Pelodiscus sinensis: one gene and its partners. The protein of the gene in region 1 interacts with the protein of each later gene in a pairwise test. Links are inferred from orthologs where the notes say so. Each region holds a gene or a part of one and is shown in the gene's direction. Other genes may lie near its edges.

Region 1 (3,741 bases):
TTTGCGGAAAAGCATCCATGCCAATCTAGACATGGTTTTGCGCAAGAAAGCCTCGATCGCCATTTTCGCATTTGGGGCTTTTTTGCGCAAAACAATACCGCGTTGTCTACACTGGCCCTCTTGCACAAAAGCAGTTGCGCAAGAGGGCTTTTGCCCGACCGGGAGCAGCATCGTATTTCCGCAAGAACACTGACAATCTTACATGAGATCGTCAGTGTTCTTGCGCAAATTCAAGCGGCCAGTGTAGACAGCTGGTAAGTTTTTGCGGAAAAGCTTGCCAGTCTAGACACAGCCTTGGACTTTCAGAAGGACCGTGGCAGGGCCCCTCCTCCAAGGCCGACGGGTCCCTGGCTGGTTCCTGGGTGGACGCTTTGTGCTGGAGATCGGCCCCGCACCAGGGCTGCTCCCGCGCTTCAGAAATGGCCTGGGCAAAAAGGTAAAGAGTGAGACTGGAAAATTTGCATATGACATTAAATTAGTCATCTCCCCTCCCCCGTCACCAGACAAGGGTCACTGGGGATCCACTGGAGGTGGGAGAGGAGGGAATAGGGGCGGGGCTCTGAGGGAAGGGGGCGGGGTCTGGGCCAGGTGATGGAGAAGGGGCGGGGCCCTGAGGGAAGGGGGCGGGGTCTGGGCCAGGTGACGGAGAAGGGGCGGGGCCCTGAGGGAAGGGGGCGGGGTCTGGGCCAGGTGACGGCGAGGGGCGGGACTCTGAGAGGAGGGGCGGGATCTGTGGCAGGTGATGGAGCAGGGGCGTGGCTCTGAGGACGAGGGGCGGGGCCTGCCGTGGCAGTTGCTGAGGGGGAGGGGCGGGGCCCTGAGGGAAGGGGGCGGGATCTGGGCCAGGTGACGGAGAAGGGGCGGGGCCCTGAGGGAAGGGGGCGGGGTCTGGGCCAGGTGACGGCGAGGGGCGGGACTCTGAGAGGAGGGGCGGGATCTGTGGCAGGTGATGGAGCAGGGGCGTGGCTCTGAGGACGAGGGGCGGGGCCTGCCGTGGCAGTTGCTGAGGGGGAGGGGCGGGGCCTGTCTCCCGGCTGCTCAGCCAGGGCGAGACGCACTCCGATTGGCCGCCGGGGCACCCTGCTCCCCGCCCCCGCCCGCGCTCTCGCGAGCTCGTCGCGGGCCGACGCAGTGGGAGGGGAGCCTCGCGCGCCCATCCCGCTCTCGCGAGAACACGGCGGGAGGCCGAGCTGCGCCTGCGCCAGTCCCGGAGCCGCTGCGGCTGTGGAGGGATGGGAGCGGGGAGGTGAGACCGGAATCCCCCCTCCCCCTCGGGCTACCCCCGCGTCACCGCCTCCACGCGTCACCGCTACGTCACACCCCCGGGAACCCCCCCCCCGCGGGGATTCCCGGGGGTCCCAGCGTCACCGCCCCCGTCACGACCCCGCCCCCCACGGGGCCTCCCTGGCAACAGCCCCCCTGCCCCTCCCCCACCCCTGAGATCTCCCCTCCTGCCCCTCCCCCACCCCTGAGATCTCCCCTCCTGCCCCTCCCCCACCCCTGAGTTCGCCCCCCTGCCCCTCCCCCACCCCTGAGATCTCCCCTCCTGCCCCTCCCCCACCCCTGAGTTCGCCCCCCCCCCGCACCTGCTGCCCCCGCCCAGGGGCTCCATGCTGCCCCCCCTTCCTGCGCAGCTGGGTCCCAGTCCTGGGGGGGCTGGTGGGGGGGGTGTCACCGCGCCGCCGATTAAACGATTTACGGTTTTTGGCAGCCTGGCTCCGCCCCGGGCGCGTGGCTGCGAAGCCTCGTCCGTGTCTCGCGTCGTCGACAGCACTTTTGTCGGCTCCACGATTCACGAACCACACGCTTCTTAACATCCCCGGGGGGGGGGGGGTCTCCTGGCTGTAGGGCTGGCAGGAGGGTGCCCTGGATGGAGGGGTAAGATGGGTGAGACAGAGCCACTGGAGGGGGGGTTGAGTGATTTTCAGGGCCGCCCATCTCTGTCTCCTCACAGATGCCCCGTCACTGCTCTGCTGCCGGCTGCTGCACCCGGGACACCCGCGAGACCCGCAATCGAGGAATCTCCTTCCATCGGTAGGAAGTAACCTGGCCCTGCAACCTACCTTCACAACCAGCCATTCCAGCCCCCCCTTCCTCCCACCCCGTGGGGAAGGTATAAGGCAGGGTCACCAACCAGAACGTTGGGATCTGTCGGTAGATCTCAGAGCCTCTGACAAGGGATCCTGACTGGTTTGCCTGGGAAGCTCTCAAGCGCTGGCGCTTCAGTTGCCTCTCCACCCACTGTCCTGCTGCTCCTGTCCTCTGCCTCGGAGCTGCCCCCCTGGGAGCTTCCTGCTTACTTTGCAGGTGTGGGGGAGGGGGCACACCTGCAGAGCAAGCAGATGGAGGGGCAAAAAGATGGGGGGCACTGATGTCAGGGTGTCCCTCCTCCACCCACTTCTGTACCTTGTCTCCACACAGAGAGAAGGGGATGGATTTGGCAATGCAAATCTCTATCACTGTCACACGCTGTGTGTGTGTGTCTGTCATTCTCAGAAACACACACTGTCCTTCACTCTCATCCCCCAATCCAACACATATGTGGGTTGTTGTTGTTGTTACGTCTGTTCCTGCTTGCAGAGTGGGTTATTTTTTGTTTCTGACTGGACTGTGCATTTCATAATTTTCATTTTTCTCTTACGCTTACATTTAATTCTTTGGGCAGTGAGTTTTAAAATGCCAAACCTGCCGTGGCTGGAGTCATTATCCCCGTGGTAATTGCTGCTCCTGGAAGTGGCTGGCATGTCCCTGCAGCCCCTGAGAGAGGCAGAGCAGGGGGTCTCCACGTGTTGTCCTGGCCTGCAGACACCGCCCCTGCAGCCCCCATTGATCAGTAATGGGGAACAGTAGAAGCTGTGGGCTCAGTGCCGGTAGAGGAGGGGCAGCACATGGCACCATGGAGCCGTTGCTGTACGTGCCAGCTGCTTTCAGGAGTGGAGCAGGGCCAGGCCAGGGGTAAGCTGCCTTAACCCCACTGCTCCACCACCTGGAAGCCATCTCAGTTAAACAGTGCACAGCCCGAGCCTGCTTCCTGAACCCCTGGCCCAGGCCTGAACCTCCTCCTGCCCCCAACATGAGTCCCTCTGCACCCAAACTCCTTCCCAGAGCTTGCAGCCTCCTGGACCCCAGTCTCCTACCATGGGCTAAGCCCTGAGCCCTTCCCACACTCCAAACCCCTTGGCCCAAGACCAGAGCCTGCACCCCTACTAGCCTGTTGAAAGTGAGCAAGGAAGGGGGATGGAGTGAGCAGGGTGAGGCCTCAGAGAAGGGGCGGAACGGGGCAGGGCCTCAAAGAAGGTGCGGGAAGGAAGTGGGGCCAGGGTCTTTGGGCTTGAGGTAGATTTCACATTTCACTGAACTTGAAAAAGTGATCTTGTGGTTAAAAAGGTTGGAGGCCACTGGTGTAAGGGGACAGCCAGGTGCGCAGAATGGCAGTACCTTTAACACCAACAGAAAAGACATACCTTCTCACCCAGCCGACTTGCATGACTTCCTGCCACAAAGAGACATTCGTCATCGGAGCTTGTTGCTTCAAAACCACCGTCCAGACCCGGGATTATCAAGGAATTGCTGAGGAGTTAGGACGAATCTTCCCTTCTCAGCAGGTTATTCCAGAACTGCCCACTAGGGGGTGCCTTACCTCTTCATCTGCAGCTGCCAGAGTTCTGCCAGAGCCCAGATGCTGGGCTAGATGGGCTTTTCGTGTGATCTATTCTGGCTGGTCCTGCATCCCAGCTCTGG
Region 2 (3,741 bases), on another chromosome or scaffold:
TTATCTGGGAAAAGCTGTGACCAAAAGGTGGGATCTGGACACAAGCTGATCTCCAGCGGCAAGATACTCCAGACCTGCGGTTCCAGTACCAAGGCAGGGACATCTAAGCGCTATCCCAGGTCTGACACTGGTTTGCCAGGTGACCTTGGGCAAGGCACTTAAACCACCCAGGATTTATCCTTGCAACCCCCATTGTACAAGGGGAACCAGGAGAGCCTAAAACCTAGCTCTTCAAATTAGTGGCACTTCAGAGCCAAATACCTTGGACTTTAGATCAGGCCAGGCAGGTAAAGATGTCTCCTGGTACAACGTCAGCCAGCCCAATTTGCCATGGCTCAGGCATGTGGCAAGTAAACCAGCACCCCCCCCTCCTCCCGCTCAGCACGTGTGGGACACCTCCACCAGGAACCAATAACCATCAAGGCATAACTCCAGCTGGTGGCAACGTGGTGGCTTGTTCTTGGCTGAACAAAAGCTGGGGAGAAATCTCAGACTCAAATCCACGGCAGAGAAAGCCTCAGGCAGCTGGCACGGCCACCCAGCTCCGCCCTCCGGCACCTCCTGAGGCTCTGCTGGCTCTTTGACTCTGCCCCGGGGGTGGGGAGGGCTTTGGGCCCTACGGCAAGGCCCCGTCTCTTTTCCCCTCACCTAGGCGTACGTGGGGCAAGTTCGGCCGGCACAGGCCTGGAGACCACAGGGTGAGTGAAATGCTGCAGCGCCTCGGCTGTTGTCTTTGGAGGCAGACAGCTGCCAGCGGCATCCCTGTGGGAGCTAGGCCTAAGCACCACCCAGGAAGCCAGCGAGAGAACGGGGACTTGCGCCCAGCTCTGGCAAGCCTCCCTACTGCCCTGCAGACAGCCCGCTGCCCCTCCAGCACCCCCACCCTGGCGGACATTTCCCCCCTCGCTGGGGCTGCCAGCTGGATCTGGGGAGTTCATTCTGCTGTGCATCTCTCTTGCACACACACTTCCCTGGCCTGCACACACACACACTTCCCTGGCCTGCACACACACACGCACACACTTCCCTTGCCAACACACACACTCTTCCCCGACCTGCACACACACACACACACACACACACACTTACTTCCCTTGCCTACACACACACACACTTCCCTGGCCTGCACCTGCACACACACACACTTACTTCCCTTGCCTACACACACACACACACACTTCCCTGACCTGCACACACACACACACACACTTCCCTTACCTAAACACACACACTTCCCTGGCCTGCACACACTTCCCTTGCCAACACACACACTTCCCCGACCTGCACCTGGGCGCGCGCGCACACACACACACACACACACACACACACACTTACTTCCCTTGCCTACACACACACACACACACACACACTTACTTCCCTTGCCTACACATACTTCCCTACCCCCTCCCCTCCCCTCCACTTACTTCCCTTGCCTGCTGCGCCAAGCAGGATTGGTCCACACCGCCAGGCGCTCCCCCCCCCCCCCCACACACACACTTTTGCGCGTGCGCTCCACTCGGGGAAATAAGGCAGCTGCGCTGCGCCTACACACGGAGCCTTACGGCCGCGGGGTGTATCGGCCCGCGGGCAGCGGCCGGGCTGCCTGCAGCCGGGCAGGTGGAGGCGGCGGGGCCGGGGCTGTCGGGGGGCCGGGCTGCGGGGCAGAGGCTGCGCTAGGCGGCCCGTCGGGCAGGAGCGGGGATGGAGGGGCCGGGCTGCGAGCCGCTGCCCCCCGACCTGAAGGAGCTGGAGGGCAAGGTGGGGCGGCGGCCCCCCGACGGGCTGCTGCGGTGGCTGCGGGAGGACCCGGCCGCGGCGCTGCTCGGGGAGAGCCCGGCCCGGGGGCAGCGCCGGGGGCTGGCCGGCAAGATCAAGGCGCTGAAGCTGGAACTGGTGAGTGGGAGACCCCCGCCCACTGCCTGGTCTGCCCCCCCGAGCCCCTCCCCCGCCTGACCCCCCAGCTCCCTCCCCATCTCCCCCTGTCCCCCATCTTCTCCCCCGCTGCCTGGTCTGCCCCCCCCCCGCTTTCCTCTCCCGCCTGACCCCCCCAGCTCCCTCCCCATCTCCCCCTGCCCCCCATCTTCTCCCCCACTGCCTGGTCTGCCCCCCCCGCCTGACCCCCCAGCTCCCTCCCCATCTCCCCCTGCCCCCCATCTTCTCCCCCTCTGCCTGGGCTCTCTCTCCGGCTTCACAGCCTCCTCCTCACCTTCTCCCTCCCCATCTCCCTCCTCCCCACTGCCTGGCCTGCCCCTCCCCCGCCTGACCCCCCAGCTCCCTCCCCATCTCCCCCTGCCCCCCATCTTCTCCCCCACTGCCTGGGCTCCCTCCCCGGCTTCACAGCCTCCTCCTCACCTTCTCCCTCCCCATCTCCCTCCTCCCCACTGCCTGGTCTGCCCCCCCCCCCCGAGCCCGCCCCCCGCTTTCCTCCCCCGCCTGACCCCCCCAGCTCCCTCCCCATCTCCCCCTGCCCCCCATCTTCTCCCCCACTGCCTGGGGTCCCTCCCCAGCACCACCGCCTCCTTCTCATCTGCCCCCCCGCCTGCGCCTCCTCATCTCCCCCCCACTACTGGCCTGCCCCCCCAGCTCGCCCCCATCCTCCAGCTCTCTCCCCCTGCCCCCCATCTTCTTCTCCACTGCCTGGTCTCCCTTCCTAGCACCACAGCATCCTCCCCATCTTCCCCCCCCTCCGCCTGCCCCTTCTCATCTTCCTCCTCCCCCCTCACTCCCTGCTGCCTGGTCTCCCTCCCTGGAGCTTCAGCCTCTTCTCCATCCCCCCCCCTTTGCCAGTCCCTGGGGCTATACTCCTTCTCCCCATACTTGCCCCTGTCCCTTCCCATCACCCCTGGGGCCCCAATCTCTCTACCCCCCATGCCACTCCCACCTGCTCCCTGTGGCTTCTGGCAGCCCTGCTTTCCCCCTTGCCTGCCCCCTTGGGCTACGGCCTCCCACCTCCTCTTCCCTTCCCTCTTTGGGCTACAGCCCCCCTCCCCATCTGCCCCTCACCCTGTCTGCCCCTCGGGCCTGCAGCCTCCCATCACATCCTCCCTTCTCCACTGGAGCCACACCTCCCCCTTGATCTCCCCGGGGGCGAGGGTTGGGACAGTTCTTCCCCTCTCTGCGCTAGGGCCAACACTGCCCTCCTGCCCCATGGAGTCACCCCCCACCTCCTCTCCCTCTCTGCCCCATGGGGGGCTCAGGGCAGCACCACTCCCTGCTTCCCTGCCCCGTGGGAGGGCGGGGACCGTCCTCTCGCTGCCTGCTCCGTGGGGTCACCGATATTCTGCTCTGCCCATCGCTGGGGCATCTGGCCCCTCCTCTCTAGAGCCAAGCCTGGCTCGGTGGGTGGGGGAAGGGGTTCGTTGTGGTGGGAGAGCCCCGGGGTCTACGCTCTGAACGTGGGGACGTGGCCCCAGGGTTGAGATGCCCGACCCGGCTGGAGTTCCCAGCTCCTCTGGCAGTCAAGCTGCAGGCCCAGGGGGGGGGGGCAGGAGGAGGCAGTGTGGGGTTGGGACTGTCCCCTGATGTCCCTTTGGGTGTTGGCTAGGTCGGGGAGAGCAGCCTCCAAAGGAAAACACTGGAAAGGGGGCCACTGTGCTCCCGGCCTGTCTAACCATGGCTGTTTAAAAGCTTATCGTTAGGGAAAGGAGGAAAGTCTGGTGGATAAACCACACGGCTGGAGTCCAAGAGACCTGGGGCTCTTCCACTGAGTGTCTTGGACAAGTTCCTTACTCTTGTCCCATG
Region 3 (3,741 bases), on another chromosome or scaffold:
AGGAAAATGGAAGAACTAAAGACAGCTCTTCCAGAGTCTGGGTTGGGAATCTCGGAGGAGGAGCGAGTGCAGATTGTTAGTGCCTTGGGTTATCCACGAGGTCACTGGTTCAAGTGCCCCAATGGCCACATTTACGTGATTGGTGATTGTGGTGGGGCAATGGAGAAGAGCAAGTGCCCAGAGTGTAAGGAAGTTATTGGAGGTGCAAACCACACTCTGGAACACAGCAACCGTTTAGCTCCTGAAATGGATGGGGCAACTCATGCGGCCTGGTCAGAAACTGCAAATAACATGCTCAACTTTGAGGAACTCCGCAGGATGATATAGAAGAGCTACATTTGGCTCAGTAGTACACCTTTTAACCCCATGAATGCTCTTTCTTCCCCACTGCCAAGCTGCATAGCACGTGGAGTAGCCAGCGGGTGCTCACTGGCTCTGTTTGACAAATTGGATTTCTTGTGATTAACACTTGCTGTGTTTGTTGCTAGAACTAGTCCTATTTCCTACTCGCACTTTATATGTCGAATCAAGCAACTGAATGAAATAGATGTAACAAATTCATCTGCTTTAGCCTGAAGCATGCGCGGGGCCTAATGTAGTTCCAGGGCTGGCTGGCACCAGTCGGTGGCATCAGCCCCTGCAGTAGCTCTGGCTATTGCTCATTGCACTGAGTGTTTAACCCTCAATCTTTTATAGCTCAATAAATTTTATTCATAGTCATTTAAATGCAATATTTCCTGGGAGCAGCCTCGCCCCCCCCCGGAGAGACCGGGACACCCCGCTACAGGTCCGCTCCTCCCCACCGGCCCACTATTGGCGCGGCCGGAAGTCGCTCTGGTGCCCCAAGGAAGGGCTCGGGCACGACCGGAAGTAGCTGTGGGGTTTCAGTGACGGGGGAGCGCGTGACCGGAAGAAGTTCTGGTGCCCCACTAAGCGAGGTCCGGTTCGGCTGCAAGTAGCTCAGGTGACCCGTTGAATCGGATCCGGGCGCTGCTGGAAGCAGCTGTGGAGTCTCACTGAGGGCTGGGAATTGGCCGGAAGTAGCTGGGGGGGGGGGGGCTCAGGGATGGGCTAGGGTCAGTAACCCTGGTGCCTCAAGTGCCGGAAGTTATTCTAGTGACTCACTCGGTGGGGGCAGGGCGCAGCCGGAAGTAGCTGGGGGGGGGCTCAGGGATGGGTTAGGGTCAGTAACCCTGGTGCCTCAAGTGCCGGAAGTTATTCTAGTGACTCACTCGGTGGGGGCAGGGCGCAGCCGGAAGTAGCTGGGGGGGGGGGTCTCAGGGATGGGTTAGGGTCAGTAACCCTGGTGCCTCAAGTGCCGGAAGTTATTCTAGTGACTCACTCGGTGGGGGCAGGGCGCAGCCGGAAGTAGCTGGGGGGGGTCTCAGGGACCTAGACCAGCATCCTGTCTGCCACAGTGGCCAAGGCCGGGTGCCCCAAAATAGCTCCGGCGTCTGACTAGGAGAGGCCCGGGCGGGGCCGGAAGTAGCTTGGGGGCAGGAGGGGTCTGAAGACGGGGCAGGGCGCGACCAGAAGTGACCCTGGTGCCTCACTGAATGGGGTCCGGCCTCGGCCGGAAGTAGCTCGGGGTGGGGTCTCACTGAGTAGACTTCCGGCGAGGCCGGAAGTAGTCCTGGTGCTCTGACGCTGGAGTCCGGACTCGAGCCCCTTTGAGCGGCGCCCGGCTCATTGCTCGGCCGTGTTTTGCTGACGGTCCCCACGCCCCGTGTGCGTGCGCAGAAAGCGCAGAGACCTTGGGGCTGAGCGGATGGAGCCGGGGGGTGCGGAGCTCGCGCGGGCGCTGGAGCCGCTGAGGCAGCTCGGCGAGGTGCTGCGCGCGGCCCTGGCCCGGCTCCGAGGTGCGGCCGCGGGGCGGGGCGGGGGGGCGGGGGACGTTGATCCGGGGGAGGCGGCGGTGCCGGGGGGGCGGGCGGGGGGGGATCTGGGGGAGGCGGCGGTGCCCCGGGGGGCGGGCGGGGGGAGATCCGGGGGAGGCGGCGGTGCCGGGGGGGCGGGCGGTGGGGGATCCGGGGGAGGCGGCGGTGCCCCGGGGGGCGGGCGGGGGGAGATCCGGGGGAGGCGGCGGTGCCGGGGGGGCGGGCGGGGGGGATCCGGGGGAGGCGGCGGTGCCGGGGGGGCGGGCGGGAGGGGGATCCGGGGGAGGCGGCGGTGCCGGGGGGGCGGGCGGGAGGGGGATCCGGGGGAGGTGGCGGTGCCCCGGGGGGCGGGAGGGGGGGGATCCGGGGGAGGCGGCGGTGCCGGGGGGGCGGGCGGGGGGGATCCGGGGGAGGCGGCGGTGCCCCGGGGGGCGGGCGGGGGGGGATCCGGGGGAGGCGGCGGTGCCCCGGGGGGCGGGCGGGGGGGATCCGGGGGAGGCGGCGGTGCCCCGGGGGGCGGGCGGGGGGGATCCGGGGGAGGCGGCGGTGCCCCGGGGGGCGGGCGGGGGGGGATCCGGGGGAGGCGGCGGTGCCCCGGGGGGCGGGCGGGGGGGGATCCGGGGGAGGCGGCGGTGCCGGGGGGGCGGGCGGGGGGGGATCCGGGGGAGGCGGCGGTGCCGGGGGGGCGGGCGGGGGGGGATCCGGGGGAGGCGGCGGTGCCCCGGGGGGCGGGCGGGGGGGATCCGGGGGAGGCGGCGGTGCCCCGGGGGGCGGGCGGGAGGGGGATCCGGGGGAGGCGGCGGTGCCGGGGGGGCGGGCGGGGGGGGATCCGGGGGAGGCGGCGGTGCCCGGGGGGGCGGGCGGGGGGGATCCGGGGGAGGCGGCGGTGCCGGGGGGGGGCGGGCGGGGGTGGATCCGGGGGAGGCGGCGGTGCCGGGGGGGGGCGGGCGGAGGGGATCCGGGGGAGGCGGCGGTGCCCCGGGGGGCGGGCGGGCGGAGGGGATCCGGGGGAGGCGGCGGTGCCCCGGGGGGCGGGCGGGCGGAGGGGATCCGGGGGAGGCGGCGGTGCCCCGGGGGGCGGGCGGGCGGAGGGGATCCGGGGGAGGCGGCGGTGCCCCGGGGGGCGGGCGGGCGGAGGGGATCCGGGGGAGGCGGCGGTGCCCCAGGGGGCGGGCGGGCGGAGGGGATCCGGGGGAGGCGGAGGTGCCCCGGGGGGCGGGCGGGGGGGGATCCGGGGGAGGCGGCGGTGGCCCGGGGGGCGGGCGGGGAGGCGGCCCTTTCTGAGCGCCGCGCTGGTGTCTTTGCAGATGGGGAGTCGCGGGAGAGCAGTGAGGCCTTCGAGCAGCAGCGCTTCTGGGACACGCTGGGTAAGGGCCTGGTGTGGCGGGCGGGCCCAGGACTCCCAGCCCACGGGCCCCGGGCTGCAGTGGAGGAGCCCAGCTGAAGAGCGGTGCGCTAAAGGGATCAATGTGGAAAAGAAACCGCCCAGGAGCTTCTGCTGGTCCGCCAGGGACCGCACCGGGGACCTCATGTTGTGCTGGCACTTGGTCCGCAAGCGCAAACGATTTCCCTCAGAACAGCTTCCAAAGGTTTTACGAGCCCTGCCCTCAGTATCGGATTGCACAATTAAAAAACATCATGGGGGTCTTAAGATGTTCACTCTTGGAGAAATTTACAAGTTGAATTTATGGCAGTGCTTTTGGGGTTTGCTAAATTCAGTCCCGTAATTGGGGAAGCCACTTCATTGCTTTTTCAGTTAATGGATATGAACCTGTCAGAGGATGATCATAGAGCTGGAAGAGACCTCAGGAGGTCATCAAGTCCAGCCCCGTGCCCAAAGCAGGACCAATCCCAACTAAATCAA

What was found.
Region 2: the proteins of THAP7 (region 1) and LURAP1 interact in a two-hybrid assay, tested with the Homo sapiens proteins (2 studies listed by BioGRID and IntAct). The two-hybrid records come from large-scale screens. The link is inferred for Pelodiscus sinensis from reciprocal best matches to the Homo sapiens genes THAP7 and LURAP1.
Region 3: the proteins of THAP7 (region 1) and CCNDBP1 interact in binary tests that used the Homo sapiens proteins (3 or more experiments, as listed by UniProt). The two-hybrid records come from large-scale screens. The link is inferred for Pelodiscus sinensis from reciprocal best matches to the Homo sapiens genes THAP7 and CCNDBP1.

Annotation. Positions count from the first base shown.
Region 1 is NW_027465849.1:2,982,715-2,986,455, forward strand, and holds the start of THAP7 (THAP domain-containing protein 7), read left to right. Parts: upstream 1-1,090; 5' UTR 1,091-1,246; intron 1,247-1,954; coding exon 1,955-2,034; intron 2,035-3,741. UniProt on the Homo sapiens protein: Chromatin-associated, histone tail-binding protein that represses transcription via recruitment of HDAC3 and nuclear hormone receptor corepressors.
Region 2 is NC_134719.1:2,895,746-2,899,486, forward strand, and holds the start of LURAP1 (leucine rich adaptor protein 1), read left to right. Parts: upstream 1-1,526; 5' UTR 1,527-1,701; coding exon 1,702-1,893; intron 1,894-3,741. UniProt on the Homo sapiens protein: Acts as an activator of the canonical NF-kappa-B pathway and drive the production of pro-inflammatory cytokines. Promotes the antigen (Ag)-presenting and priming function of dendritic cells via the canonical NF-kappa-B pathway.
Region 3 is NW_027465987.1:396,287-400,027, reverse strand, and holds the start of CCNDBP1 (cyclin-D1-binding protein 1), read left to right. Parts: upstream 1-1,387; 5' UTR 1,388-1,768; coding exon 1,769-1,859; intron 1,860-3,184; coding exon 3,185-3,244; intron 3,245-3,741. Other genes in the region: ZNFX1 (NFX1-type zinc finger-containing protein 1), read left to right, coding at 1-327. UniProt on the Homo sapiens protein: May negatively regulate cell cycle progression. May act at least in part via inhibition of the cyclin-D1/CDK4 complex, thereby preventing phosphorylation of RB1 and blocking E2F-dependent transcription.